4 linked regions of the Saccharomyces cerevisiae S288C genome follow. The protein of the gene in region 4 binds, or shares a complex with, the protein of the main gene of each other region. Each region holds a gene or a part of one and is shown on either strand. Other genes may lie near its edges.

The links.
Region 1: SNU66 (region 4) and SMX3 share a complex: the UniProt entries of both Saccharomyces cerevisiae proteins name them as parts of the U4/U6-U5 tri-snRNP complex.
Region 2: SNU66 (region 4) and SNU13 share a complex: the UniProt entries of both Saccharomyces cerevisiae proteins name them as parts of the U4/U6-U5 tri-snRNP complex.
Region 3: SNU66 (region 4) and DIB1 share a complex: the UniProt entries of both Saccharomyces cerevisiae proteins name them as parts of the U4/U6-U5 tri-snRNP complex.

What each region holds. Positions count from the first base shown.
Region 1 is NC_001148.4:895,710-902,909, forward strand, and holds SMX3 (mRNA splicing protein SMX3), read left to right. Parts: upstream 1-4,484; coding exon 4,485-4,745; downstream 4,746-7,200. Other genes in the region: HDA3 (Hda3p), read right to left, coding at 1-55; E1 ubiquitin-activating protein AOS1, read left to right, coding at 252-1,295; GTPase-activating protein SEC23, read right to left, coding at 1,652-3,958; DPM1 (dolichyl-phosphate beta-D-mannosyltransferase), read left to right, coding at 5,046-5,849; GDB1 (bifunctional 4-alpha-glucanotransferase/amylo-alpha-1,6-glucosidase), read left to right, coding at 6,335-7,200. UniProt on the Saccharomyces cerevisiae protein: Plays a role in pre-mRNA splicing as a core component of the spliceosomal U1, U2, U4 and U5 small nuclear ribonucleoproteins (snRNPs), the building blocks of the spliceosome.
Region 2 is NC_001137.3:99,214-106,444, forward strand, and holds SNU13 (RNA binding protein SNU13), read left to right. Parts: upstream 1-2,729; coding exon 2,730-3,110; downstream 3,111-7,231. Other genes in the region: VMA3 (H(+)-transporting V0 sector ATPase subunit c), read left to right, coding at 1,556-2,038; YEL025C (uncharacterized protein), read right to left, coding at 3,368-6,934. UniProt on the Saccharomyces cerevisiae protein: Common component of the spliceosome and rRNA processing machinery. In association with the spliceosomal U4/U6.U5 tri-snRNP particle, required for splicing of pre-mRNA.
Region 3 is NC_001148.4:701,797-709,173, forward strand, and holds DIB1 (U4/U6-U5 snRNP complex subunit DIB1), read right to left. Parts: upstream 2,861-7,377; coding exon 2,429-2,860; downstream 1-2,428. Other genes in the region: TEF1 (translation elongation factor EF-1 alpha), read left to right, coding at 1-174; GRS2 (putative glycine--tRNA ligase), read right to left, coding at 318-2,174; MDM36 (Mdm36p), read left to right, coding at 3,058-4,797; YPR084W (uncharacterized protein), read left to right, coding at 5,176-6,546; ASA1 (Asa1p), read right to left, coding at 6,701-7,377. UniProt on the Saccharomyces cerevisiae protein: Essential role in pre-mRNA splicing. Also essential for entry into mitosis (G2/M progression) as well as for chromosome segregation during mitosis.
Region 4 is NC_001147.6:889,850-898,244, forward strand, and holds SNU66 (U4/U6-U5 snRNP complex subunit SNU66), read right to left. Parts: upstream 6,539-8,395; coding exon 4,775-6,538; downstream 1-4,774. Other genes in the region: MCH5 (riboflavin transporter), read right to left, coding at 18-1,583; SLY41 (Sly41p), read right to left, coding at 2,882-4,243; RNA-processing protein NOP58, read right to left, coding at 6,976-8,395. UniProt on the Saccharomyces cerevisiae protein: Component of the U4/U6.U5 tri-snRNP particle, one of the building blocks of the spliceosome. Required for pre-mRNA splicing.

The sequences.
Region 1 (7,200 bases), on a different chromosome or scaffold from region 4:
TAGCATCAACAATTGTAGGTATTGGTTTCGTGTCTAAAATGCGTAGTAAATCCATACTAAAGGGCAATTAGTTTGTGCTTCTAACTTTCCTTTTTATCATTTTTATAGTCTAAAGTATTTCTTCTCTCTATTGTCTTTAATTGAAACTTTGGAAAACCGCGGTGTTATGGATACTAGAACACTAATGTTATTTTTTGCAGTTATCAATTAAAGTAAAAGAAGAACAAACTGAGTGGATTAAATCAGTAACTATGGATATGAAAGTAGAAAAATTAAGTGAAGATGAAATTGCACTGTATGATAGACAGATTCGTCTATGGGGAATGACAGCACAGGCCAATATGAGATCAGCAAAAGTATTGCTGATCAATCTTGGAGCAATTGGTTCTGAAATTACCAAAAGTATCGTCCTTAGTGGTATAGGGCATTTAACCATATTGGATGGACACATGGTGACTGAAGAAGATTTAGGATCCCAGTTCTTCATAGGCTCTGAAGATGTTGGCCAATGGAAGATTGATGCAACAAAAGAGAGAATTCAAGACTTGAACCCCCGTATAGAGTTGAACTTTGATAAGCAGGATTTGCAAGAAAAGGACGAAGAGTTCTTTCAGCAGTTTGATTTAGTCGTGGCTACAGAAATGCAGATTGATGAAGCAATCAAAATTAACACATTAACTCGAAAACTAAACATTCCATTATATGTTGCTGGTTCTAATGGATTGTTCGCTTATGTTTTTATTGATTTGATTGAATTCATTTCAGAGGATGAAAAATTGCAAAGTGTAAGACCTACCACCGTTGGTCCCATTTCAAGCAATAGGAGCATTATAGAAGTTACTACTAGAAAAGATGAAGAAGATGAAAAAAAAACATATGAACGAATCAAGACCAAGAACTGCTATAGGCCACTGAACGAAGTTTTAAGCACAGCAACATTAAAGGAAAAAATGACGCAAAGACAGTTAAAAAGAGTCACTAGTATCTTGCCGTTAACCCTGTCCTTATTGCAATATGGTCTCAACCAAAAGGGCAAGGCCATAAGCTTTGAACAAATGAAAAGAGATGCGGCCGTATGGTGTGAAAATCTGGGTGTACCAGCAACAGTGGTAAAGGACGATTACATACAACAGTTTATCAAACAGAAAGGTATCGAGTTTGCTCCTGTCGCGGCCATTATAGGGGGTGCTGTAGCGCAGGATGTCATTAACATTCTAGGTAAAAGGCTATCTCCATTAAATAATTTCATTGTTTTTGATGGTATTACATTAGACATGCCACTTTTTGAGTTTTAGATATATACATACCTACTATACTGTAGTTTCAGCCAAAAAAAATAATAAAAAAAGCATAATTGGAGGCAGTAAAGCATTATAGTCATACACAATAATAATAATAATAATAATAATAATAATAATAATAATAGTAGTAGTAGTAATGGTAATAAAAAAGTTAGAAAAGAAATTAGATACAGATATTCGTAGTAAAGGCCACGCAGTACAAAAAAGACGGAGAATATATTATATAAAATCCTCTACTCTTTTCGTTCAGGTCCAAAGGAAAATTCTTGCACGCGCAATGGACTGAACAGGCCTTATATTATACAAAAAGCCTAATAACGATCAAATAAAACAAAAGAAAGCCGTTGCTCCTATGCCTGACCAGAGACGGCTACTTGTTGTAAGTGAGTCATGAAATTTTGTAAGGAAACATCATCTGTTAAGACAATTGTAGATCCTCCGCGCGCCATGTCTTGATAGTTATCGGAAGGATTCAATTTAGATAACAAGAATCTGGCTTGAGAACCACCGGCTTCAGTATCAATGAATCTTGGTAGCGGGAACCTATCTACTAACAATTCTGCGGCTTCTAATTTTGGCTCTTCAAGAAGAGCTTTGAAATCTGCGTACTGTGGATCGTCTTGGTAACCGGCTTTTCTCCATTGAGCGATTTGCTCACCGTGGTATATTAAGATGAAGAAAAATGTATCTAATAATAGAATGGTATTGGGTTTGACGGAGATAGAGTCTAATAATACCGGTTGTGGATCGTCCTCCATTGAGAAAGAAGTTAGAGTTGGTTGAATCATGATTAAAGAATTAGTCGTATCCTCTCTTGTGAAAATATGTCTATAAAATGCAGTTTCATCCGGAGAATTGTTAAAGACACTTAAGAATTGGGATCTTCTTAAATAATAGGTAAATTGAGGATACAGTGAGAAATTTGGAGCCAACCTGAAAGATTGAGGATCATCTTTATTATAGTCGGCGTACTTTTGACATAGCTTAATCAAAGTTCTGTCTAACCATCTAATAACATCTGCACCATCATCGGTTTCAGCCTTGTGAACAGCAATACGAGCCATCAAAACGGCAGCAGCTTCTTGATCGAAAGAAGCTGCAATGGCAGGAGTACCGAAGGGCAAAAGCTGGTTTGCGACCGTGGTGACTCTGATACGGTTGGTACCAGAGGAGTGTTGATAAGTAGTGATGAATTGAGTATATGCTAGATGAGGTCTATCTGCTGAACCAGGGGCAGACATCATTGGGTTAGAATTAGCCGCAGTGTTTGCAATTTCAAAGAAAATCGCATACGAGTGATAAGGCGATAAGGAAGCCATCTTCCAGGTGGACGTTGCACCTATACCGATTTCAGATTCACTGATGTTGTTAGCGTCTGTCTTCTTTACAGCAGAAGCATGCCCAATCAAACCTTGTACCTTCAAGTCTTTACTTGTCTTGACTGCCATATTACCATTGAAAGCCATCTTCAAATACCCTTCTTCATCCTTGGCAAACAATCTCAAGTATGATTGCTTAAAAATCGCGGTAGAGAAGGCATCGGTTAGCAACAACACACCTCCAGTAGAGTCGGTCAACTGTTTCATTTCAGACATACCGATTTGATCGTAACAACCGGCAAAAATATCAACAGTGTGTCCATTGGCGGCAACTCTTTGTGCAATCTGGTTGTAAAACTTACAGGCCTTCTTGTAATGTTGCGCGTGATCAGAATCGATGTCGTGGTGGGATCTTAAGGGATCTTTTAACTCTGAGTTAACAATCAAACCTGGGGCCACGGTGCCTGGACCGGAGGCGAAAAGAATGATTCTTGCTGGGATGTTCTTATAGCAGCCCTGTAAAAGCAAAGATGCAATGTTCAAAGCGGAACCTGTGGCCCTTAATGGCCTATGACCCGCTGGAACAGACCATTGGTCTGGAGACAGATTTTCCAGTAATTGATTCAGTTTGAACTCGACCTGTTCCAAGGGCAGGAAGAACCTATTCAAAGAGAAGGGCGTAACTTTGTTCATGGCGTTCGGTAGATGAGATGCAGCACCGCCGGGGCCGGTAGGCTTTTGGCCGGTCAACATTTCCGTCAACGCTTCGAGCTGGTACTCCCTGTCTCCTCTGAACACGTTGCACCTGTCAATAGTTTCGCTGGACAGATCGTGCAATTGAACAACGTTTCCGTAAGTGATCAACCCAATCAGCGCGTTGGGAGGTAATAGAGACAAAGAAGTGATGATAGACTCCTTTAGCGAATCGAGGTTCTCGGTTTCCGAAGTCAAATCCACAACAAAGAAGAAAATGGGAGGAACGGTAACGGGCTTATTGGTGATGTACTCAATGGTGGTGGACTGTAACTCTAGCGGCATATTCTCCTGTGACAAGTTGGTGTACTGTGGAGGTAAATGGTTCCTGGAGTTACAGATGGGACAACTCCAGGACGAATTGCGCGGATCAATCACACAGTAAGGATTTAGAATCGACTTACAGTGTGGACCGGAACACACAACTGGATTGTATGGGGCAACGTTCAATTCGTCATACTCCTTCAAAGGTGTGTACAAACAGCCCACAGGGACGACGTTGCTGTTAGCGTCGCTTCTAGTAGAGGGAAACACGTTCCAGGTGAAACGGACCCCGTTGATGTCTTCATTAGTCTCGAAGTCCATGGCTAGAAAAGAGGAAGGGGAGGCAGGCGACAGACAGATAAACACTGGCTTCAGTTAATTGTGTGTCTTGCTGAACGTGGAAAGATCACAACAAGTATCTTTTTTTCTTTTTTCAAACGTGTTTTTCTTTTATTCTTGCTAGAACTTTCCTCCTTTGTAACAAACGAGAGGCGGCGGGCTAGTCGTCGCAAGCGACAAATCTCAACTGACAGTAAATAACGGTGATAAAACAAAATTAGCGCAATCTCTCAAACTACTGAGGACAACCAACTTGAATTGCACTCTTCCAAGTTGTAGCATGGCTTGGGGGGTGTGTGATCCCATCCTGTATTATGGCAAAGCAGGCAAAACAACCGCTCTGCCGTCCGGGTAACTTTTCTTGTTCCACCTCTTTTCCCCAACATATATGAACATGAGATGGTAAGAGCAAGAAACAACGGTTCTATGAGCAACGCAAAAACAGCACAGCACACACAGCACCGCGTACTATACCACACCACACACTACGTCACAACACAACAAGACAATGAGCGAGAGCAGTGATATCAGCGCGATGCAGCCGGTGAACCCGAAGCCGTTCCTCAAAGGCCTGGTCAACCATCGTGTAGGCGTCAAGCTTAAGTTCAACAGCACCGAATATAGAGGTACGCTCGTGTCCACGGACAACTACTTTAACCTGCAGCTGAACGAAGCAGAAGAGTTTGTTGCGGGTGTCTCGCACGGCACCCTGGGCGAGATATTCATCCGCTGCAATAACGTGCTGTACATCAGGGAGCTGCCGAACTAAGACGACTGTGCTCATCTCCCTTACATACCAGTATATTTACATACGCCCTCTACTGTAATACAATATCATTCTATAGCACTCGCATCGCGTATTTTTTTTTTATTTTCTTGCTTTATATTGTTCTATTTTTCTTCCTTATTCCTGCCTCTGGATTTCCCTCGCATGACAAATAGCGTGGAAAAATAAAGGATTTCCAGTATTTGAAAAATTTTCAGTATTCTTACGTGTTCCTAACTCATATAGACCGCTATTGTAATAACGCTATCGCTTCAATTACACACAAACATACACGCACCCACAATGAGCATCGAATACTCTGTTATCGTTCCCGCTTACCATGAAAAGCTGAACATCAAACCCTTAACAACCAGATTGTTTGCCGGCATGAGCCCTGAAATGGCCAAGAAGACCGAGTTGATCTTTGTCGATGACAACTCACAGGATGGCTCCGTTGAGGAGGTGGACGCCCTAGCTCACCAAGGCTACAACGTCCGCATCATCGTCAGGACAAATGAACGTGGTCTATCCTCCGCCGTGCTTAAGGGTTTCTACGAGGCCAAGGGTCAGTACCTGGTATGCATGGACGCAGACCTACAACACCCTCCAGAGACCGTGCCCAAGTTGTTCGAGTCTTTGCACGATCACGCCTTTACTCTGGGCACCAGATATGCCCCAGGTGTCGGCATTGACAAGGACTGGCCTATGTACAGACGCGTCATTTCCTCCACTGCTAGAATGATGGCCAGACCTTTGACCATCGCCTCCGACCCCATGAGCGGGTTCTTCGGTCTACAAAAGAAGTACCTCGAAAACTGCAACCCTAGGGACATCAACTCGCAAGGTTTCAAGATTGCCCTCGAGCTTCTCGCCAAGCTTCCTCTTCCAAGAGACCCTAGAGTGGCGATCGGCGAAGTGCCATTCACTTTCGGCGTGAGAACGGAAGGTGAATCCAAACTGTCAGGTAAAGTCATTATCCAATACTTGCAACAACTTAAGGAGCTCTACGTCTTCAAGTTTGGCGCCAATAACCTTATCCTTTTCATTACTTTCTGGTCCATTCTGTTCTTCTACGTTTGCTACCAGCTATACCATTTGGTCTTTTAAAGGAAGTGAATGGTAACGAAAAAAAAAAATCTTTCTTTATATGTCTCTTTAAGTACTCCCTTTCAGTTATATGCCTTTTATTGTCTGTCCCTATTCTAATCCTCTACTCGGGCCATCATTGTTAACGTAATATTTGCCCTAGGGTAAAAACATTAGGTTGATTAGGCCATAACTCATTCTGCCCCACCCCCACACATAGGGTTCAGGAACTTGGTTTTCAACCCTACTGCATTGTTTCCCACGCGGCGCTACCAAAATATATCCAATTTTCTTTTTTGTCACAACAGCAGCAACCCCTTGAAATGGCCAATTCTTCTCGAGACTTTGCTCCCTTAATCTTTTCTTCCCCCCCGGTTTCTTGATGATTATATATACTAACCTCGTATATTACACACTGTACTTGAAGTCACTCATATCCGAATACTACTTCTCTTAACTTCCAGTCAACCCGACACCCACAATCGTCCTTAGTATATAACTGCTTTATGAATAGATCATTACTGCTACGTTTGTCGGATACCGGTGAACCCATTACAAGCTGCTCTTACGGAAAAGGTGTCTTGACGCTACCACCAATTCCGCTCCCTAAGGACGCCCCAAAGGACCAACCGCTCTATACGGTCAAGCTACTGGTATCTGCAGGTTCCCCTGTCGCTAGGGATGGGCTAGTTTGGACTAATTGCCCACCAGATCACAACACGCCCTTCAAGAGGGACAAATTTTACAAAAAAATCATTCATTCCAGCTTTCACGAGGATGACTGCATTGACCTGAATGTCTACGCTCCAGGCTCGTACTGCTTTTATCTATCTTTCAGGAACGATAACGAAAAACTTGAGACAACAAGGAAATACTACTTTGTTGCCTTGCCCATGCTTTATATAAACGATCAGTTCCTACCTTTGAATTCCATCGCTTTACAAAGTGTTGTATCGAAATGGCTGGGCTCTGACTGGGAGCCCATCCTATCGAAAATTGCCGCTAAAAACTACAATATGGTACATTTCACCCCTCTACAGGAAAGAGGCGAGTCTAACTCGCCTTACTCTATATACGACCAATTGCAGTTCGACCAGGAACACTTTAAGTCTCCTGAAGACGTGAAAAATTTAGTTGAGCATATACATCGCGATTTAAACATGCTTTCATTAACAGATATTGTTTTTAACCACACAGCTAATAATTCTCCTTGGTTAGTTGAGCACCCGGAGGCTGGGTATAACCACATCACTGCGCCACATCTAATCAGCGCCATAGAGCTCGACCAAGAATTGCTCAATTTTAGTAGGAATTTGAAATCCTGGGGCTATCCTACCGAACTGAAAAATATAGAAGATCTCTTCAAGATCAT
Region 2 (7,231 bases), on a different chromosome or scaffold from region 4:
ATATCTCGACGATGCGCAGTAAAGAAAGCAATTTACTACTAACGTCTAGCGATATCATAGATGATGACAGGATAACGATATAGGTTAGATGGATATTGGAGTAATTGTCAAGTCCCATTTTGATTGAAGACAACATTATTAGGCCTACAGAGTTGCTAAAATTCTCCACTAGGTCACAGGAGTTCGCAAAAGAGAATCAACAATCTACATAACCATGCACACATTTCTTCGTCCTCTACGTTATAATTTACTGCTCTAAAAGCGTCACTTCTCCTTTCATTTTATGTTTTATTGTTCATTATCCTACTGCGTTATCAATCCTTACATTTCGGCTTCCACTAAATTTAATGACTGCTTCTCATCATTTCATGTCTTCTAACGCCGTATATAATAATATCCCAGCAAAATATAACTGTTAGTTAGTGAATCATAACCGACTGTTACTCCTGCAATATCCATGGGAGAAATCACCATCGGAAGGTAAACTAACACGTAGGTATTGATTCTACCGGAAATGAACAAATGTCGTACTGCCCAAATGAGCCAAATGCCATCATATACGCCTTCATAACTATATTTGAAAAATACCTTTGCCTAAAAGACGAGTGGTATTGGAAACTTCAATTAGTGTTCAAAAATGTCCAGTGAGAGGATGAAGTTGTCGTGGTTGAAACAGCATAAACCACCTAAAATAGTATCAACTGACAACAACTGTGGAACACATGCGGTTACTTTTATAATTAACCGCAAAATACCTGAAATGAGCTAAGAAATAGTAATTATAAACATGCCACTACAAGTAACAGATTAAGTGATATGTTGGCGGACCTCAATATAAGCGACATGGAGAGATAGAGATAGAAGAATTTGTTATTGTGTTAATAAATAAAGTTAACATCCAGTTCTTTCAAGTTGGCTAAGCGCCGTGGCGCAGTGGAAGCGCGCAGGGCTCATAACCCTGATGTCCTCGGATCGAAACCGAGCGGCGCTAATTTTTCATTTCTTTTTGCCCGCAACAATAACACAGATCGCAATCATTTAAGCTATAGACTATAAGCTTTAACTTCTGCGTTATTATTAATAATTGTTATTGTTTTAGTTAGGTATTTCTATCAACTTATTTTATATATTCTATATTACAGTTTTCTTTTTTTACAAATTCACCCAGCAATTATTTATTATTAATTGTACATCTTCTTTAATAATGAATTTATTATTGCACAATATTCAACTTAGGAAAGATAGAGGAACTGAATTCTTTATCAGCAATGAAATAGGCCGTCTACGGCCGTCTACGGCCTATTCCATTGCTAAAAATTTGAATCGTATAAAGGGATATTACCCGGAAAAGAAACGCATTAAAAAAAAAAAAAAAAAAAAAACAGAAAAAGTGGTTAAGTGATTGACTGACCCTTGATAGTTTTGTACAATTATACACTCGTTCTGATTAAAAACTTGTTTATAAAAATCTTTTTAAAAGAAAGAGAAGATCGTGTTTATTGCTTTTCTCAAAAAGACTAATCAATTAGAATAACAAAAGAAACATATACATATAATGACTGAATTGTGTCCTGTCTACGCCCCTTTCTTTGGTGCCATTGGTTGTGCCTCTGCAATTATCTTCACCTCATTAGGTGCTGCTTACGGTACTGCTAAGTCTGGTGTTGGTATCTGTGCCACTTGTGTGTTGAGACCAGACCTATTATTCAAGAACATTGTTCCTGTTATTATGGCTGGTATCATTGCCATTTACGGTTTAGTTGTTTCCGTTTTGGTTTGTTATTCGTTGGGTCAAAAGCAAGCTTTGTACACCGGTTTCATCCAATTGGGTGCCGGTCTATCAGTCGGTTTGAGTGGTCTAGCTGCTGGTTTCGCTATTGGTATTGTCGGTGATGCAGGTGTTAGAGGTTCCTCTCAACAACCAAGATTATTCGTCGGTATGATTTTGATTTTGATTTTTGCTGAAGTTTTGGGTCTATACGGTTTGATTGTTGCTTTGTTGTTGAACTCCAGGGCTACTCAAGATGTTGTCTGTTAAGGCAGCTTCTGAATCACTAAAGCAGGAATAGAGTATACAAAAGAATCTTTTTGTGAGAAACTATGAAAACTATCAAAATTTTTCATCTTAGAGATTGTTTATAGCCCCTATTCTTACTTCATATCCAAACTACCTCATTTCAAGCTTCCTTTTTATTAGTACCATTATTATTGTTTAAAAGAGTATTACACGCTAAATATGTATATCTTAATTTTTAATGTGTATAAAATAGAAAATTTGAATATCAAGGAGCAACAAAGAGCATTATGCGTTTTAAGCTACACAATGGGTACGATGAGATCACTATACCTGTACTCTTAAAAGAGGCCCAACCTTATCAACTTCTATTGTTAAAGTAGACAATTGTATCGTTTCTTTTTCTTATCGGTTTTATCCGGGTAATAAATTCAGCATATAGAAAAATTTTTCATTTCTATTTTCTTTTTCTTTTCATTTTTCCTTTTTCTCAGAAAATTTTTTTTTCTAATGCTGGAATGAGATGAGTTAGAAAATTTTTCACTTTAAAACTGATTATTCTGGTTAATAGTGCTTATTCCTCTTAGTGTTCAAGTCCTACTTTCAAATCTTAATTTAAATCATCATTCGAGCGAGCTTTCTATACCAGGACCATACTGATTATTGCAAGGAACTTGAATAAACCAGATTTCATACTATAAAAACTATATTAAAAATGTCTGCCCCAAACCCAAAGGCTTTCCCATTAGCCGATGCTGCATTAACCCAACAAATCTTGGATGTCGTTCAACAGGCTGCTAACTTGAGACAATTGAAGAAAGGTGCCAACGAAGCTACCAAAACTTTGAACCGTGGTATCTCCGAATTCATCATTATGGCTGCTGACTGTGAACCTATTGAAATCCTATTGCATTTACCATTACTATGTGAAGACAAGAATGTTCCATATGTCTTTGTTCCATCTAGAGTTGCTTTAGGTAGAGCTTGTGGTGTTTCTAGACCAGTTATTGCTGCTTCTATTACCACCAACGATGCTTCTGCTATCAAGACCCAAATCTACGCTGTCAAGGACAAGATTGAAACTTTATTAATTTAAGTAGATTGGATTATATCTATCAACATAGTTTTTGTACCATCTATATACTATAAAAAAGTTTTTTGCTTTCCACTAGTGCAGACGCTAATAGTGCTGTTTTGTTAGTGGTATGATATATGTCATATCTTCATTGAATAACCTACTCGAGTGCATCTGTAAATGCACAAACATGTATTATCAATTGAGCTGTAGTAATTTAGGCATAACAAAAAGGTGCAAGATCTCATGGCACCTATTCGTTCGTAGGAGATTTATTGTCACCTTTTTAGTTTTACAGGATCGAAAAAATCTATGGTCTTGTATGGTGAATGATCTATATGTCTTCTCTTTGAATTTCTAGCTAGCTCATCAAAGCCGCTTTCATTTATTCCAGTCTCTTTACTCACGGAATATTGTTTAGTAACATTTCGCATGCTTTTCTCAGACCTTCGAAAAGCTCTTTTACATTCGAGCTTGATCTTTTTGTAATCATGCAACGTTCTCATCCACAGCTCACCAATGAATTCCGATATTATATAAATTTGGCCCTCAGTACCGCAAAGTAAAAATAGAGGTATGACGCCTTCCAACCTTTGACTATTGAAATTTGGACATATTTGAAGGTTTTGAAATCCATCTGGGATGGCCGCCAGTGAGATTATCTTATTAGGTAACCGAATTTTGAGGTATGGCATAGCCAACCCGCCCTTATCAACTGATAATTTAGAATCTTCGTATATTGTCAAGGTATTATCAATACCAATGGTGGCAACATAAGATCTATTGGAATATTTCAACGTTGCACAAGAAAGGTCTGATAATCGACCTAATAGATAGTTCTTATCACTCGCTAAACAATCGTTTTTAGGTTCTCTTAGCTTCTTAGGAATTATTTTAGTCGCCACTTGTGTAATGCTTCCCAACCGCTTAAAACCCAAGTAGGGACATTCAGGGTACTCTGATGGATATACTATGGACGTCCTAATTGGAAAGCGGGTTCTCAAAAAATCTCTCAAGATCTCAAATTGAACCAGATAATCACCACTCATATAAGCTGGAAGACCTATATGGTTAATCGATGAAAGTGCTGGGAAGGAATAGGCCTCTAAAATTTCCGCGCCCTCTTTTAGCATGTTTATTTTATATGCTGCTATGCCACTATCACCAGAAAATAAAACCAAGTTGCACTCATAGTATATGAACACCGAGAATATACAATCTTCGAGATAATTCGCGTACAATTGGGTAATGTTATTGTTTCTAATTTCAAACAGCCAGAATTTTGTACGTTTTTCACCAACTCCTAAGCATACAACAAACTTATTACCATAAAAGGGTCTCTGTGATAAGTAGATTGAGTTTTGTTCTGGCCACAGTGGCTTCACAACGGCATGTAAATACTTTTCATCCGAGAAACTGAATGTGGAAACTGCCTTCATTGAAGCATAATTGAATAGCATCAACTTATACTGCCTACTATTGCTATCGACCAAACACACCACGGCCTGATTGAGGTTATTTGGAACAGTATAGAGCTCTACGGGAATGCTAGGGAGGTAAAAGATATGATTTTCTAATTGAGGTTTTAATGAAGTCATCTGCTTAGTGAAACCTTCACGGTAAAACGTGCTACCAAACTCAAAGATGCTTATTCGAGAATCATAATCTAAAACACAAAGAGAGAACAGTGCTTTACCGGGTCGAATTCTCATTCGTCTTGGAACTAAGCCTAACTGTATGCAACCATAAGACATGTTTTGAAGATTTAACAAAATTATTTCCTTATCGTTGTAAAGGAAAACCAAAGGTAAGGAAGGAATCGTATCCAACAGTTCTAATTTCTGATCGTATAACGAATGAATCTCTAAATCCACTCTCAAAAAATTTGATTCTGATTTGTAGACTCTTACGCAGCCAGTGTATGATGATGCGATGACATAAATCGAGTCGTGTTTATGCTTTTTGCTTAGCCAAGATATTTTTATCAATTGATCATAGGCTATGAAAGAATAGTCTGGATGTGATGTAGCCACTTTCTTTTGATTGGCATTCCATACCGAAAACACACCGTCCAAGTAAATGACAAAAAGGTATTTCTCGGCACCATCTGAGAAACAGCTCACAATACTCTCTTTAGAATTGAGCCCATGGATAAAAAATTCTTCTTTTTTACGTAGAAAACCAGATTTTGCCTCAAGTATCGAAATCCTGAGCTTGGAGTTCTGTACGGGATAACAAAACATGGTGGAAGAGTTGTGGTTCGACTGCAAGAAATCGACCTGCCTAAATTCTCCGGTAGAACCATCCATACCGGCTTTCAAAACTTTTCCCGTCCTAGAAACAAATAGACCGTAATCATAAGGCTCATCCATTAAAAATATTCCGTTCTTATAAATCAACCCACCTGATTCATATGCAAATTCGTCACCACCATTAAGTGCTAAATCTGTAACCCAAAAATCAGTTACATTCTCTACTAGCGCTTTGGAGGAAGTCACTAACTTGAACAGGGTTTTGTCATATACCAAAATTTTCTTTTCTAAAAATCCTCTTCTTGAGTTAAAACTTCCACCCAAAAGCAGTGAATCAATATCTGTCCCCTTGTTTCCAATAACTTGTGATGCCAGGTAAACTTTGTTTGTATAAGCGGGACCGCTTTTCACCTTTTCTAATTTTGAACCTCGATGATCTTTCGATATAAAATTTACTCCATTTATTCTTGTCACCGCTATATACTTTTCACGTGGGAGCTGCAAAATAACATCGCATAGATCATGTTTAGGAGGCTTGAACACTCTTTCTTTTGTCCATTGTAGTTCTTTCAGGACGTGGTCTCTATGTAACGACCTAGTGTGTATCTTGGCAGTGTATTTGTTAGCATACACGTCAGAAATTGTCAAGAGAATGACTGATCTTTCATATATCACATCATAAGAATCTTTTAGAAATTGGTAGTTTTCTACATTTGGGAGACCTTTATTATTGAAAAAAGCCCCGTTTGTAAGCCCACTTGCTTTTATATTTATTATTTGAGTGTAGTTAGTAGTCAACACTACAATGGTATGGCCGCAAACTACCTTCATATAACAAAATTCATTATCACATATCGGCAAAAGATTGTATTGGCGGTACTCGTTTAAATCAAATTTCCTACTTCCATGCTTTCCAGCAAGATTGTATTCCTTTAAAAACAGGTTTTCACTATAGCAACTCTTAAGTAGGCAAAGAAAATAAACGTGTGATTTACCTGTGCATGTGGCGTCGTCAAGCAAATCCTCCCTGCTAATAAAATCAAAGGAGATAATTTCTTCGCCATCGGTGGCATAAAATCTTTCGACTATTCCTTCTCTGAAGTCAAAGGAGTAAATTGTCGTACATAACGTATGCAAATCACTATCATATGATATGTTTTTATTGCAAGTGTATAAAACACCCTCAAAGGAAGCATTTAACCAGCTGGAAGTTAATAAAGAAATAGTATCCAGTTTCGGAGCCACATTAGAGTCGTAGATAATTTCAAATTTGTTATTTTCGCATTTGAATCCCTTAATGGAACCGTCGTTAAACATTAGCAGGTGACAGAAGGAAGCTGACATGAACATCGGTACAGTTGCGTAGTTAACAACGAACGGTCCATCTAAAGCGAACTCAACCTTCGCTTTCAATTCGTTGGACGTTCCGGTATACAATCCATAGCTAAAACATAAAAAGTAACTTCCTTCGTGATGAAGACAACTTACCAGCTTCTCAGCCTCATCTTTTGATCTATAAGATGTTATGCATAAAGGTAAAAAGGCCGAATTGCTATCCAATTTTTTGCAGTCCGTTTCATCTTGTCTTGCCATTTTACGTGGCAATGGCTAGTGCAATATGCAATGCGCTAACGCTGACATTATAACACAATATATTTTTCTACCCTCCCTTTCGCTGAGTTGCGACCAGAATGTCTGTTTTTCAGTCATGTATTTCTTTCCGCTTTAGGCGTTCAGGCAAGCGCGTTCAGTTGAAAGCAAATAGAACCTATAACGACGAATACGCTTAAAGGAAGTATACAGGAAATAGAAAAAGAAGCGTACTGCATGTACTAAAAACCAAAAAAAACACCACATCGGCTCTCTGGTTGTATCCATACTTTCCCTAAA
Region 3 (7,377 bases), on a different chromosome or scaffold from region 4:
TTCGTTCCATCTAAGCCAATGTGTGTTGAAGCTTTCAGTGAATACCCACCATTAGGTAGATTCGCTGTCAGAGACATGAGACAAACTGTCGCTGTCGGTGTTATCAAGTCTGTTGACAAGACTGAAAAGGCCGCTAAGGTTACCAAGGCTGCTCAAAAGGCTGCTAAGAAATAAGGAGATTGATAAGACTTTTCTAGTTGCATATCTTTTATATTTAAATCTTATCTATTAGTTAATTTTTTGTAATTTATCCTTATATATAGTCTGGTTATTCTAAAATATCATTTCAGTATCTAAAAATTCCCCTCTTTTTTCAGTTATATCTTAACAGGCGACAGTCCAAATGTTGATTTATCCCAGTCCGATTCATCAGGGTTGTGAAGCATTTTGTCAATGGTCGAAATCACATCAGTAATAGTGCCTCTTACTTGCCTCATAGAATTTCTTTCTCTTAACGTCACCGTTTGGTCTTTTATAGTTTCGAAATCTATGGTGATACCAAATGGTGTTCCCAATTCATCGTTACGGGCGTATTTTTTACCAATTGAAGTATTGGAATCGTCAATTTTAAAGTATATCTCTCTTTTACGTAAAGCCTGCGAGATCCTCTTAAGTATAGCGGGGAAGCCATCGTTATTCGATATTGTCGTAACAAATACTTTGATCGGCGCTATCTGTAATGGAAAAGAGAAGAAGCCTCTTGACTCACTATCCACTCGAACTTGGAAACAATGGTCGAAGATGCAGTATATGATACGACCTAAACCGAACGAGGGCTCAATGACATTAGGAATGTACTCTCGTATATGTTGCAAAGTTGTCTTCATTTTGATAGTAACCAAACTGCTATCTAGTTTTACGATCTGGCCATTTACTTGACAGGTAAATTCACCGTTCTTTTCCAGTTCTTCATGCCTCCTAATCAATTCATCCTGGGAAAATTTTGACAAAACAGATTCGATTAATTTTGCTTTCTGTTTGAACTTCGATCCGAAAAATTTCTTATTCACTTCCACAACCCACTCGGTTCTTTCTTTTGGTGTATCTAGCTTTTGCTTTACCGTCAGACTTCTTCCCGTTTTCTTGGAGTGTACAGTTAAATCAAAAGCCGCCCTGTCAGCACAACCGACACATTCAATCCAACCATACGATGTTAAAATTTCACCGTCCCAACAATCTGTGGCATAGTGTGCCATTTCATTCTTCAAATGCTGGCGAAATCTGAATTTGTCCTTGTTGATCCCAATATTCAACAAAAATTGATGAACTCTTGCCATAAAATATCCCAATGTTTCATTTTCTACCATTCCAGAATTCACTGCCTCTCCTATAGTCATTTTCACAGGCAGTTGGACTTCACCACTTTCCTGTAATCTGCGTGATAGTAGTGGAATCTCCTCATTTAACACTTCATTGAATTTTGCATGTGACTTATTCAACGGATCAACAAAGTGCTCAATTTCTGCCATTAAAAACTCTCTTACCCTTAAAAGCCCACTTCTGGGGGAAATTTCGTTTCTGAATGACTTACCAATGGAAGCTGAAGCAAACGGAATTTTCCCTTGGTTGATTTCCAATAATTTGTTGAAATTGAGAAATTGTCCTTGTGCAGTCTCTGGCCTTAGAAAGGCCTTCAATTGTCCTGAGGCTCCAATTTTAGTTTCGAACATCAAATTAAAGGAAGTTAGTGCGTCTAAAACATCGTTAGTGACTGGATCATTAATGTTATATTCCTGCATGACGAGATTCAACTCAGGACCCGAAAACCCGTCAATCGTGGTCAATATTTTCTCCATATTTTTCATATCCTGTGGATTGACATCCTTGTCCAACAGCCGTTTTTTCAACGTCTGTTCAATCAAATGGTCTGCTCTGTAGTATTCCCCAGTCTTAGGATTTCGGCACATCCAATCAGTAAATTTGTCTACATGCCCAGAAGTCTTCAACACATCGTAAGGAGTTAGCATTGGCCCATCAACCTGAAGCATGTTTTCTTCCATAATAAAATGTTCTCGCCACAGTCGAATCAAGTTATTTTGCAACTGACAACCCGGAGGCCCTAAATCAAATAAACCTGACACACCACCATATATCTCAAACGAGGGTGTGTAGAAAAACCTTCTCCTCAATGTACTTTCCAATTTATCTCTTTCCGAATTGGACATTAACGGCATGTTGATGTGATATGTCTTTCAACAGTCCAACAAAATGTTCTTTAATGTATCACATTTATCGTTTTTCACTTTCATTGTCTAAAAGAAAAAAAGGGTTGCAACTACTATCGCAGGTTCATAAATTAGACCTCATACGAACAGTTCATCAGAACTGATCAATATGCTTCGACCTTTTATATTCTGTCAAGGTTATTCATTACTTACTCACTGAATTGTTAAGACATCGTGCGCCTAGCCTACATAGTTATTATGAATTATGAAACACGCTTATGATTATAATCGTATGGAGAGACCACCAGCCCTTTGTTCTTCCTGGCACCTCTGAATATAGTTTCTAATATGTCAATCATTTCTTGTTTGTCGTCTACAATAAAGTTCAACTTGTTGTTGTTCCCTGTACCAAAATCACACATCATGTGCTTATTGTGGTAGAAAAACATTACTGTCATGGGATCCGTCAGCTCGTACATCTCATCAAAATCTGAAACTTCATCTATATCACATAAATAAATAACTGCAAAGTTCCTTACTCTTTCAGCAATCGAAGATAACAACTCGTCCATGATCATACATTGTCTATCATTTTTGCGACCAAAACGAATGACAACAAGTCGTTTAGTCTCGGTAACAATAGCCTGATCCACATGCCATCCCGTACGCAATTGAGGCAACAAAACACTAGCCATCAAAACTTGACTTCTTACTCTTTCTCTACGTACTATTTCTATCCGATGATCGAATTTGGTATGTAAGTTCTGTTTTTCCACTTTGCGAAGCGGTCATTGGCCCAAAAGAAATACAACGAGTCATCTCCTCGCAGTAAACTGTACAACAGCAAAGAAACAGTTAAAAACCCTCCAGAGAGAACACTTACTACTATAGCATGGATGAAAACGGTACAGTAAAGCCTGGCTATGAATTAAAGGGACTCAATTCGGGAAATTCGAGGTCAAATATGGATAAGGATCCCATCGTTAGCAAATTTCATAGGGCTGGTCTCAATGATTCTGCAGACGAGGAAGATACTGATATCAATGGTAATCGCAACACTAGCTGGATAACTTCAATGATTAGTGAAGAAAAACGCAAGGTGGAGGGAAAATCTATGCTGAATGATGAGGAAGATTTGCATTTATCCAAAGCTACTTTGAACAAATGCGATGCTCTAGTTAAGATATTAGCGGATATTATCAAGCTAGAGTTTGTTATTCACCAATCATGGTATATCAGATCCCTTCACAAGAGTGTCTTAATTCAATTTGAAGTAGAAACGTCTGGTGGAAATAAGAATAGCGCCGGTGATAGCGGCGACGATGATGATGATAATCATAATGGTAATCTGGACGATAGCTTTTATAAAGATTTAAGCTTAAAATGCATCAAAAAATGCGAGAAGTCTTCCCTTGCACTTGAGTCGCTGTCAAGGGACATTGACCAAATTAGAGATTTCATAATGTCCAATACAATAGAAGACAACAGGGTTGACAGGCTTTTGCAGAATTCGATGACCCTGTTATTAGAGTGTTGGATCTACTCTATGAAGAGATTGCGCCGTCTAAGGATGAAGATTGCAGGTATCTTTGTTAGGTCCAAACTTTTGCTTATTGATCATGAATTAGTGACCATATGGCATTTTTTACAGGAGCAAAACGAGCACGAAACGGTTAATAATGAGAACGAACTGAAATTGGCAGAAACAATAAAATCATACAGAGCGTTCATTAAGATATTTATTCAACAATTGGAGGACTCCGAATCGGGATCTCCATCCTCCTCTTTGTTTGAAGAATGTTTACACGTTTTTTTGGATATAGAATCGATGTACAACTCTTTAAACCTGAATTGGCTTTTGAACGAAAACAAAGCATTACAAGAAAGACTACTATCACCATCGTCGACATCGGAGAACGATCATACTAATAACCTTCCCGTTATTGATGAGACAAAGGAAATCGAAGATATCAGCTCATTTGTCAATAGCATTGTGGATGCATCCATGTTGACACATGATTTGACTCCTATTAACTCATCAGATAGCGACAATTTATCAAACGGAGAAATCGATCGTCTAGATGGAAGAAGGTTATCCTCTTCCACGTCAGATATGTCATTGATGATGCAAAGGACTTCTCTGCAGAAACAACTTCCTAGCTTATTAACTGCCTTCAACAACGCAAGAAGACTAGAACAAGAATTGCAAAACGCATGCAAAGTAAACGATAACAAACATAGCACGAAAGATACTGATTCAAATATACGACGGAATGAACATGCTATGTCTTCAAGTGTATCCTCCATCATCTCCCAAAACTCCACATTAGCATCACCGTCTCCTCCGATGTCATCGTCCTTTATATCCACGGCGCCATCACAATCAAGTTCTCGTATGAGTACATTACCACTGTCTCCTTCCTCTTCATTATTGGAATCACAATCGCAAACGCTGAAGAACAATATGTCGCAATGGTTGAACCAATCGCGATCTGGCCTCAACGGCACAAAACTTATTCCAACAAACCACATTGGGTTTCACAGCAATGTTCTGAATACTTTGTATGGTATCGGTGGTGGTCCGGTATCGAAATCTTATAAATCCAATCAACCTTCTTCACAAAATACTTGATAAGAATAAGGATATCATTGCTATGTAAACAAACTAAATGCGAGGGTTGAGTACATAAATACAAAGCAAGACTTTTATCATACATAACACATATAACAACCAATGCATGCATCCTCTCGACAATAGTTTTGTGCGTATGTCTTTGCGAAGTCCAAATACTACTCACATCCATCTTTTATTTTTTAATCCCATCGCAGCGAGTTTAAGCCTGAAAAATAGTGAACCAGTTGAAAAACACTAATAACATCGATGCAAAACTAACTATCAATAAACTGTTGTGTTTTTAGAACTCTGTACGTTGTTTCCTATCCCAAGAGTTCAATAAGACGCAGCCAAGCTTTTATTCTCTTGACTCGTCCATCATAGAGCTTTATAGAAATGTCAGAGAAGGCTTCTGAAGAGAGACCCATACGGCTGGCCGTTCTGGGGGGCACTTCTACCGGAAAGACCTCCCTGGTATCTAGGCTTACTGTTAATATCGTCCACGAGGTTCATTATCCAACAAGAAACCAAACTAACTGGCTTTTCGGCTTTGTTCCGTCATCGATCCTGGCCAGAGCTATATTAGACGAACAAGCTCACGAAAGACTTTGCCTTCGTTCCCCAAGCAGCCAAACCTTAGAGCCTATCTTCCCTTCACCTCAGGTCTCCAAAAATGTACTGCTGTCGCCATTGGTGTTTCAAGCTTCCACTGATAATTTTCAATCAGTGAGGTTACACAACAAAAGCCACTCCAGGAGATCCCTATCTTTGGATAAATCTGATTCTCCGCTGTATCAAACTTTTTCCAATGACATTAACTCTCAAAGTGTTCCTAAAATCAAGGCAGACCAGCTTAACGTTATCGAGCATTTTAAATTGCCCCTGAATTACATTCCACCCACTTATGCACCAATCCAGATTGATATTATTGATACGCCTGGCTTCAGTCCTGATAATGTGGTGCCGTTCTTAGAAGTTTCTCTCTTCCGAAATTTAGGAAAATCAATCCTACATGGACTAGCAGATGAACCAAGACGACCTGTATCTACTACTTCACTATTGGTTGCCTCTGGTGCCTCTGAGTTGAATGGTAAAGTTGACGGTTATATCTTGGTGTATAGCGCAGTCCCTGAATTAAACCATATTGGAGGCCCTCCGGAATATGGAGATGATGTGATGAACACAGATACGGAAAACGTCAGCGATGGTGGATTTGAACTTTTAAAAGTGATTAGAAACTGCATACTAGATGCTTGGACTGAATTTCGAAATTATGAAAAAAGATGGGAGGAAGGCAAAGAGGATGATATTTACTCATTGGTTTACAGCCTGAGACATCTATGGAGTAAAAATAGCAAAGAGAAAAGCGCCAAAATAGAGCAATTGAGATCCTATAATACCAAACTAAAATCCATCGAGTTAGACCCCTCATCTCCCGATTCACCACCACCATGCATTATCGTCTGTTCTCACGTTAATCATGAACTCGCAAGCCCAATGTTGATTGAAATGGGAAGACAACTAGCAACAAAATGGAAATATGGATTTGTTGGAATAGACAGCATGGATGATTTAAATGTCGATGTGGCGGTTAGCTTACTAATAAAGGAAATATCAGAAAAGATGAAGCTACTGGTTTCTAATTCCAATGGAAGTAGTAGTAGTGGTAATTCAAGTTCAATTTACAACTCTCATTTAATGAATGACAAGAAGAAAAACAACAATGCCGGCTTAAACAAAAATATGTTGAAGAAAATTATAAAATAATTGATAGAGGGAAGAACTCCCTTTAACATTCTTATGACCATGATACATCGCACTTTTTTTTACTTGGATTGAGGAAATATGTATATATAGGCACGTATGTATATATACAAATGTTCTTTCTGAAACCATGTAAACAGAAAAGGAAAAAAAATAATTATATTTTATTGAGCTTTATGGTACCATCTTCATATCCAATTAAACACCAGTTACATTTCGCCAGCGCTTTAATACGTCTAAGTTGTCCTAACCTCAACCCATCTGACTGCACATCAAACGATTCCAAACATGTCATGGCTCCCACTTTATAGTTATGGGATTTCGAGCTGGATTCGGTATTTGAGCCGCTACCGTTTGTTAGGTCTCCCATAGAGCTATCACTCACGACCAGGTTGTTCTTTGATTTCACAAAAGTTTGCTCCACTTCTGAAGTCCGCATATTATAAACAATGGTCATACCTGACCAACTACTCACGACTAAGTAATCGTCTTTTACTTTATCAATATGACCAATATTCTTCAAGGGAAGATGTACTTTTGATGGCTCACTGACTCTCAGTGAGCTTGGGCATTTTATCAAAAGCGCATCATCTCTAAGGTATTTCGTCTCAAGTTGTAAGTTCACTGGAATTTTGTACTTGGTTATGAAATCGTCTGTTGAACAACTATAAAGTTCATCCCCGCTAACACACATATCAAGTATTGGATTCGGATAATGATCGTTAGAAACATGGACCAGTTCTGCAATGTCCCTTTGAAGGCCTTCATCAAAAGTAATTTTAAATCCGACTACAAACCCATTTTCATAACCTAAAAATATGACATCGTTTAATT
Region 4 (8,395 bases):
GGGCACTGTCTTACTTTTTAAAATCTGACCCACTTGAAGCCAACACAGTATGCTCTCGAAATTATGTAGCAAACAGCGCTTACAAAAGTTGCCAAACCGCAAAAAATAATATAGTGTTGGTAATCGGCCGTTGTCTTGATAGAGATAATGGCACCTGTTATCGGAATGCCGACTAAAGTACCGAAACCGACAACGAAGTACATTGTAGAGTAACGTTTACCGAACTCTTCCGTTTTAGATATCTGGCCACAGCAAACAGGAAGTAAGGAGAAAACGCTTCCAGAACAAAATCCATATAGGGCACTAATAACGTACATATTTGTCAAATTGGTACCAAATGGTAACCAACCAACAAACATGACGATAAATAGAGTGAGTAGAGTTGCAATTGCGACGTTAAACCTACCGAACTTATCGCTCAAATAGCCAGGAACCCATCTCCCGGGTATGCCGCAGACATTTATAATCATAATCAAGGTGTAGGCGTCATTAGCAGAAATTCCATGGCTGGTGGCGTATGATCCATAATAAGTAAGAGCTGAATTAATGGATAACTCACTAAATACCGTTCCCAGGACACAAAAAAGATATTTCATATCCAGGAAAGCCTTCGCATCAAAACATTGCAGAATATAAACTCTGAGTATGTATCTCCAACGTGACTCACCATCTTTGGAATTTTCGATAACATGTGGTAACCTCTCTTTGACTAAAATGATTGACAGAGTTAGCAAAGCCAAATCTAAAAATCCTAAAGTTCTAATGCCCCAAACAAATCCATAAGTTGGATCAGTGTCTGACTTCATAGAGAAGAAACTACGCAACATAATTGGGAAAACGACGCCACCCACACTACCACCAATAGTGGCCATTGCCAATGCAGTACCACGTCTCTTAAAAAAATAGTGGGCGGGAACACTTACTAGGGGACTCAGTACAATACCATTACCGAACCCGCAGACAATGGCAAAGGACAGTATGAAGTGCCAATATTTAGTAGAGTTGGCGGTAGCGAACAGACCGGCTACATGAAAAACCGTGCCCACAATCATAATTGTCCTAAATCCATTTCTATCAAAGTAAGTACCACTAATGATACATGAGGCAGAGCAAACAAAAAGAAACAAAGAAAACAGCCAACCAATGGTAGAAACACTTTCACTGGATAATTGATTGTCCTGTAGATGACTTTCTATGACCCCCGTTGAGTTTAATAAACCAAAGCATGCAATTAGACCCAAGAAGCAACCAAATGTCACAACCCAAGCCTTGAATCCACCCTCCGGGAAGCTTTCAATTTCTTCATTGGAATCTTCTTCTTTGTCACTGTCGTGCGTGCTCGAGGTATTTTCACCCCAATGTGGTTGGCTTTCAATGTCAGTTCCTTTATTTACTTCCTTCTTGGTATACACCTTTGCCGACACCGACGTTGACGCGTAAGAGGCAGTAGTCTCTAATGACTCTAAATCATCAGCTTCTGGATCATAATGTATGCTATCCTCATCTAAATCAGGTTGCCGCAGTTGGTTGGTTTGTTCTTCTGGAACTATAGTGTCTTTAGGCGTTAAACTGTCTGAGCTCATTATTTTTCTTTTTAATCTATAGTAAAATCAGAGCTTTTTAATCGATAGTATGCCCCCGTGATCTTAGTTATTCAGATCTTAGTATGTTTTTACAGATATAACCTATCCTTCACTAACTTTGAAGAGAGAATTGCTATTTGAGAATTTCCAAACGTACATCAAGCAGTTTATATATCTAGTCCCCGTAACTACTGGGAGATCTAACCAAATAGCTTCTTTATTATATTCATTTCTCTGAGCAAAATAGATATTTTTGAAAAATTTTCCTCTAGTTTCTTTTCAGAGATGTCTCTCTATTATTAGCCTCATACAATACCGCCTAGGGCGATTCAGCAGAACAGTAATTATTCCGCTGTATTTCTTTTTCAGGTGCCTCAAACGTCTATAGAACAGCGCGCAGCAGGTTGAGAAAAATGTCAAAAATTCGATCCTTTCCTATCTTTTCTTTTTCGGACGCCAAAGCGCAGTATTCAACCGACGATGTTCGGGAAGCCACCCCCGAGATCATAATAACAGGTGCGTTGTGACTCTATTGTTAACACGAGGGAAAAGATGGAATAATTTTGGAGAAACACAATGTCGTTCTAGCGGGAAAAAAGGGCAAAACCAAAAAACACGGAGTCTGTCCAATATTAATTTGGTTAAAGCAGTTCGTATAACCAAACTTTATTGGCATTGTCCGTCGACTAGTCTATTTTTATTTCTCTCAACCTTTCGAGTACTTGGAAAAAGGAGTAGATCCGCTTTCAGCAATCGAAGCAATAGGCATTAGGGGTAGAGCAATCCTCAAAATCCTTGTGCCTCGACTGTGGGTTCTAGTATGATCGCTATTTTTTCTTATTCTTTCCTAGTTAAAGCAATAGTTGTTCGTTCTATAAGTTTTTCCGCGAGATCGTGGAAATACCTTAAAAAAGACGCGTGTATGGCTCCTGCATGCGAATCTTCTCTTTTGCTTTGTAATCGCATGTGAGATAATCAAGGGATTGTAGCCATTGTTTTCGAAAAATAATAAAATGACCGCACTTTATCCTCCACGGAGCGGAAGGCCATTCCCGTACGCATATTAATGTAAATGAGATAAATAACCAAATAAGTACCGCCACATCGGATTTTTAACCTTGATATGGTGCGGGGGTGGGGTAACAGTTTAGGATCTTGAAGTAATGCTAGCAACAGAGGTAGTAGCAGTAAATAAGATAAAAAAGACCTTCGAGGGTTTTTTTTTTGATTATATATTTGATATAGTACTAAGTGTCCTACCTTGAATGATGGTTTGTACTCAATAGTATTACTTCATATTATGCCTGACGTCCATCTTTTTTGGAAAGCCCCCATTTGTCATAACCGTACAATCCGGCAATTGTCAAGATAACACCAAACACCTGAAAAAAATTTAACTTTGTTTCCCAAAAGAGTGCCACGGATATAACAACAATCCTCTTCATGATGTTTGCTACCGAATAATTAATGGAAGATAGTAAACCGATCAACTGGAAAGCAAGCATTGCTTGGAAAAAATGGGCTATTCCATGAATCGCTACAAGGGCTACTGTTTCTAGCGTTAAATCGTTGATAACGCTACCGCCATGCATTAATTCGCCGGTTAAAAAAGGTAATAGGGTTAAAGAAAACCCAATGCAGGAGCAGTAGAACAATATGGTAATCTTATCCACTTGCAATGGAGAAAATCTTGTTTTGTCTAGACTCGGTTGCCCTTCCTTCGACGTGACGTCATCCGTAGAAGAAGACGGCAGTATTCCTACCTTCCTTCTGATGGTTAAAATATTCTTTGCAAAAATATTCTGTGCTACAAATATTATCATGGAAATAAAGGCAAAAAGCAACCCGATTAATGAAGATCCGCTTTTGTTATCTGAAGCCCTCTTACTGCCATGTGTTGACCAGCAAGTAGTCATAACGCCAAAAATTAAAAGTAACAAGGTATAATAAGTCATGGAATTGTAATAACGATGTTCGAAAAATTTATAGTAGCCAACTGTTATTATTGGGGATAATGCCTTCACGGAATGCACTAGTGATACTGGTATCATAGATACCGCCTTGTGCGATGTGATATGACCAATAAATTGGAATATTCCCATAGGGAAAGTGGTCATCAAAACCAGCTTTGAGGGAACTAAAAACTTGTGCAGGATAGAACTCCTGAAATTGCCATCGAGATATTCAGGAAGGATACCGTCAGGGAAACTATTGAGTGCCTTTGAAAACTTCGTATGCTTCAAACGAGGTAGTCGGAATAAATTTACGATGGAAGCAAATCCAACACATAGAACAGCACTAACAAGAAATTGCAATTCTGTGAGAGCTATGGGATGGTTGAAAGTTCTTAAAATGGCTTTAGATAGGTTACTTGAAATAGATGACGTGACGTACCATATAGAACAAATAATGGTTATTCTTAGGTCAACTTCAGGTAAGTACCCTTGTATATTACTAGGAAATAGTTGCGTGAATCTTTTTTTAAGGCTAGTAATATCATATCCAAAGACTTGATTACTGAATGTCTCCTTACTGTATTCTTTTTTTTGGTGTTGGAACCCCCCACGTGGTGGTTCTGGTATTTGATACAGTGATGGATCAAAGAGGTTTTTATGAACAGAATTACGTCGTTTGATCGCTGTACTTTGCGTTTGAATCATGTTAGGCCGGTATTGTTTCTCCTTTATAAAAACGAATGGCTCCTTATTAAACACTTTTATCGTCAATCCACTTACTCTCTAAATATCGTAAGCTTTGCATATATAAGCATATAATAAAAATAGTTGGTATATGCTGCACGTGTAGTCTAATGTTCTTTTCTTTTTTTTCTTTATTCTTTTTTCTCCTCTTTATGAATACAGATATTCAATTTTTTGAATATCTGATTGTTTTTATTTTCATTTCAATTTTTTTTTTTTTTCAATTTTTTTTATCCGATCGTTGCGCCAAGCTTCTATCGCTTAAAACAATGACACTTCGCTGTGAAATGACACAATGGCTTGAGATTCAGGCACAACGCAAAAGGTCTTTACAAATGTATATCACAGAATATTAATGTTTGAAAAGTACTTCCGAATTCAAGGCCACCACGTAGCCTTATACACCAAATACAATTATACACAGGTTTCAAACTTGAGAAAAACAAGATATTGAATATTAAAAGCTGGGGCTAGTAGAATTTGCTGATTAGGTTAATTGTCATCAAATTCAAACAAACTACCATTTTCAGGGGTATTTTTCCTTGCTTCAATTCTGGATTTCATTTTTGCTCTCTTTTTCTTGTTGCTTTTTGTACCATGAAATTTCTGTGACAGTTTTTTATATGCCTCCTTAGTAGTCAGTCGATTTCCCTTTTCGTCTCTGTAAACCAGTTTTATGTCAGGATCATAATGATCTTGTCTTTTTGAATGAGTATTTGCATTGGAAGAGTCACTAGATGTGAATTGTTCCAGTCCGTGTAGCTTATCTTTTGTATAAGTGCCAGTGCCCGTATGCTCTTTATTTCGGACATCCCTTCGAAGTGATTCACTATTATTAACATCCTTTCCTGGTTTCAAATCGACGTCTCCTGTGGTGAAAACACTCTTTTTCCGAAGATATCCTAGTGTTGATGCAAGACCAGAAAAAAAGTTCGGTGCATTTTCAGCATCTCCCTCGTAGTTTGGTTCATTATTAACTGCTTCAGTCAGTGTATTGTTTCCACTCCCTTCCTTAGTATGTCCATTGGTAACATCTCCGATATTTTTCTCTCCTTCACCATGCACTTTCACTTTATTCTCAGTAGCACTTCGTTCGGAGAGACTGGTATCCAAAGTATTTAAAAAAGTTACCTTTTCGTCGACGACAATACTGTTGGAAATTTCACGCATTTTCAAAATGCTTTCAGTGCGTCGCTTCTCTTCGTCTCTTGCCTTTTCAATTTCTCTAGCGAGGTCCTCTGGCCCTTTCAATTCATTGTTTGAGCTTGTTCTGGGATTTATTATGGTGACTGGCTGTTCTTCTTCCATCCAGGATAAACTTTCATCTTCATCTACTAACTTAACAATTTCCATCTTATCAGTAATTTTTGACTTCCTAGCTTTAGTAGATCTTGGGTCCTTGATCTTACGTTTTTTAATTTTTAAAGGTTTAAAGTCTCCACCATCTTCATCTGACATATTATTTGCGCTATCGAAATTCACTTTAACTTTTCCCGTTGGTGGTTTTGCTGATATAGTATTCGGTGCCTTCATAACACCCTGTTCTGCTCCGATGATTAGATGTGTAGTTGTAATTGAGTGTTTCTCTCCTTCTTCTTCTTCTTCAATATCTAAGCTAGATACATTTAAAATTTTTTTTTTTTGTCTTCTATCTTTATTCATTTGTCGTAATCGTAGTTTCTCTCTATCAGCGTTTTCCTCGGCAGCTTTCACATTCTCTAACACTTCGGTAGAATCAGTATCATCAAAAATACTGCTCTCTTTCAAAGTTAGAATCGTATCTTTCTTTGGGCTAAGCGCCTCGATATTATATGATACTTGAACATTATGCAGATCAATATTTTCGTCTTCCTTCGTGGCGCCTTTTCTTGGCAATGTGCTGGAACGTTTGGATTCATGTGAGGAAGGAATTGCATCCATGTTTTCTAGCCATGAACTGTCGTCATTTACATTAGTTTCTTCGAGAAGGTGCGCCATTCGTAAAGGAGCGTTCGCCTTTTTTTGAAACTTTGTTATCTTCTCTCGAAGTTCATCGATTTTGGATGTGTTATGTACATTAGGGGGAGAAGAATTGAAATTTTGTTGGGGTGGGATAAGTTTTAGGCCAAGGGACGCCCTCAACTCATTCGTCTCTTCGATTGACAAAGACTCTTTATGGTCTGTATTCTTTTCTTGAAAAACTGGAATAGGTTTCATACCCAGCTTTTCCCTTATTTCATTTGTCTCCTCAATAGAAAGGTTTTCCGTTTTGTTCATAAATTAATTAAGGGTTGATGTGATGATTGCCTTTTTATTAATATCAAATAGTAACGATTGCACCATCTCATCCTTTGCTCACTTTCAAAAATTTTGTATATCTTTTTCGTCCCGCGAATAATTTTAAGTTGCGCAGTTCACGATATGAATACCTATAACTGCTAATGGTACAAATTTTTTAAAGGTTAAACAAAACTTTTAATGATATAAAGTACCTAAAACTATGTAAACATAAATTATGTATACTATTTCAAATATATCACCTAAAAAAAATAATAAGTTCAATTCAATATGGGCGTACAGCACTAATTTACAGATTATGGAATAAAATATGAAATGAGAAATAGGTTAAGCATTGGATAATTATAGAAAATTTTCTAAATCCAAATAAAAGGGAACGCGAGGGGTCACTAATTATTAAAATGTAAAATGCATCCTTATTTCTTCTCTTTCTTCTCTTTCTTGGACTTCTTTTCCTTCTTCTCTTTCTTCTCTTTCTTCTCCTTCTTTTCCTTCTTTTCCTTCTTTTCCTTCTTGTCCTTCTTTTCCTTCTTAGCTTTTTTAGAATCCTTGGAATCTTCATCATCGTCTCTCTTTCTCTTCTTTTCTTTCTTTTCTTTCTTTTCTTCCTCTTCATCATCAGAATCGGATTCAGAATCAGAAGCAGCCTTTGCGGTATCAGCATCTGCATTGTAGGCCCTAGCTTCAGTCATTTCCACCTTCTTAGCCTCACGAACAACCTTTGGAGTAGTTCTTAAATCTCTACCTTCTAATTGGGATAATCTATTTTCTACTTTGGCTCTTGATTCTAGACCAATGTCACCTGAATCGTCTCTATCTTCAGCTAAAGCATCATAACGCAATGAGACAGCGGCCTTAGCAGCCAGAACTCTTGCAATCTTACCTTTGTTCTTACCAGTAGCTTGACCAACAAGAGAGGCATGATATAGCAAACCATACTTTGGTGTATCATGCTTGGTCTTTAAAGCTCTGAATAAAGCCTTTTCGGCACCTAATATTTGGATGGTAGAAGCTGGTGATTTGGCCAAGGAAATTAAGGAACCTGAATGAGCGATAAGTCTAGCACCAACTAATTCACCAACCAACTGAGTCAAGTTTGGAGCAATAGCCTTCATTCTTGCAGACAAGTAATTGGACAACTGTTCTCTGTAAGCGGCAAATTCGACTATTTGTTCAGCTAAAGCATTAATGTTGTCTAGATCGGTTTGAGTGATTTCAGTACCCATAGACACTTCAGCAGCGGTTTTGACACGTTCTTCAATCTCTTCTGGTAAGATTTCACTCAAATCTGTTTCAGAAGCCTTGGATCTGATACCCATTGTTAGAATAATTCTCGCATAAGCGACGGAATCAGTAACAATCTTAGCTAACTCAGGAAAGTGCCACCCGTACCATTCTTTACATCTCATGGCATATGTGTTTAATTCTTTATCTAAATCATCCAATAAAGCAATTGCTTGAATAATCATAACATCAACTTTGTCAGCAGAAAATTTTAATTTGTGACGACCGATGGAATGAGCTAAACCCAAAGACATCTTGCTTAGATCATTATCAGACATACCTGGCAGCAATTCTGGCAAATATTCTTTGATAGCTCTATAGATATCTAAGGTTACAGCATCGGAAACAACATTGAAGTTCAATCCCAACTTATTAATAGCGTTTGCCAGTTTAGTTTCACTAACAATCAAGGTCGACTTCTTGTCCTTTTTAATTTCTTCCAGAAGTTTTTCTAATTGGGAAGAAACTTTACCTTCAATAATGGAGTTGGCTTCCTCTAAAGCGTTAGCTGCAGAGTTGAACTTGGAAAAGGCGGCGATCTTGAATTCCTTC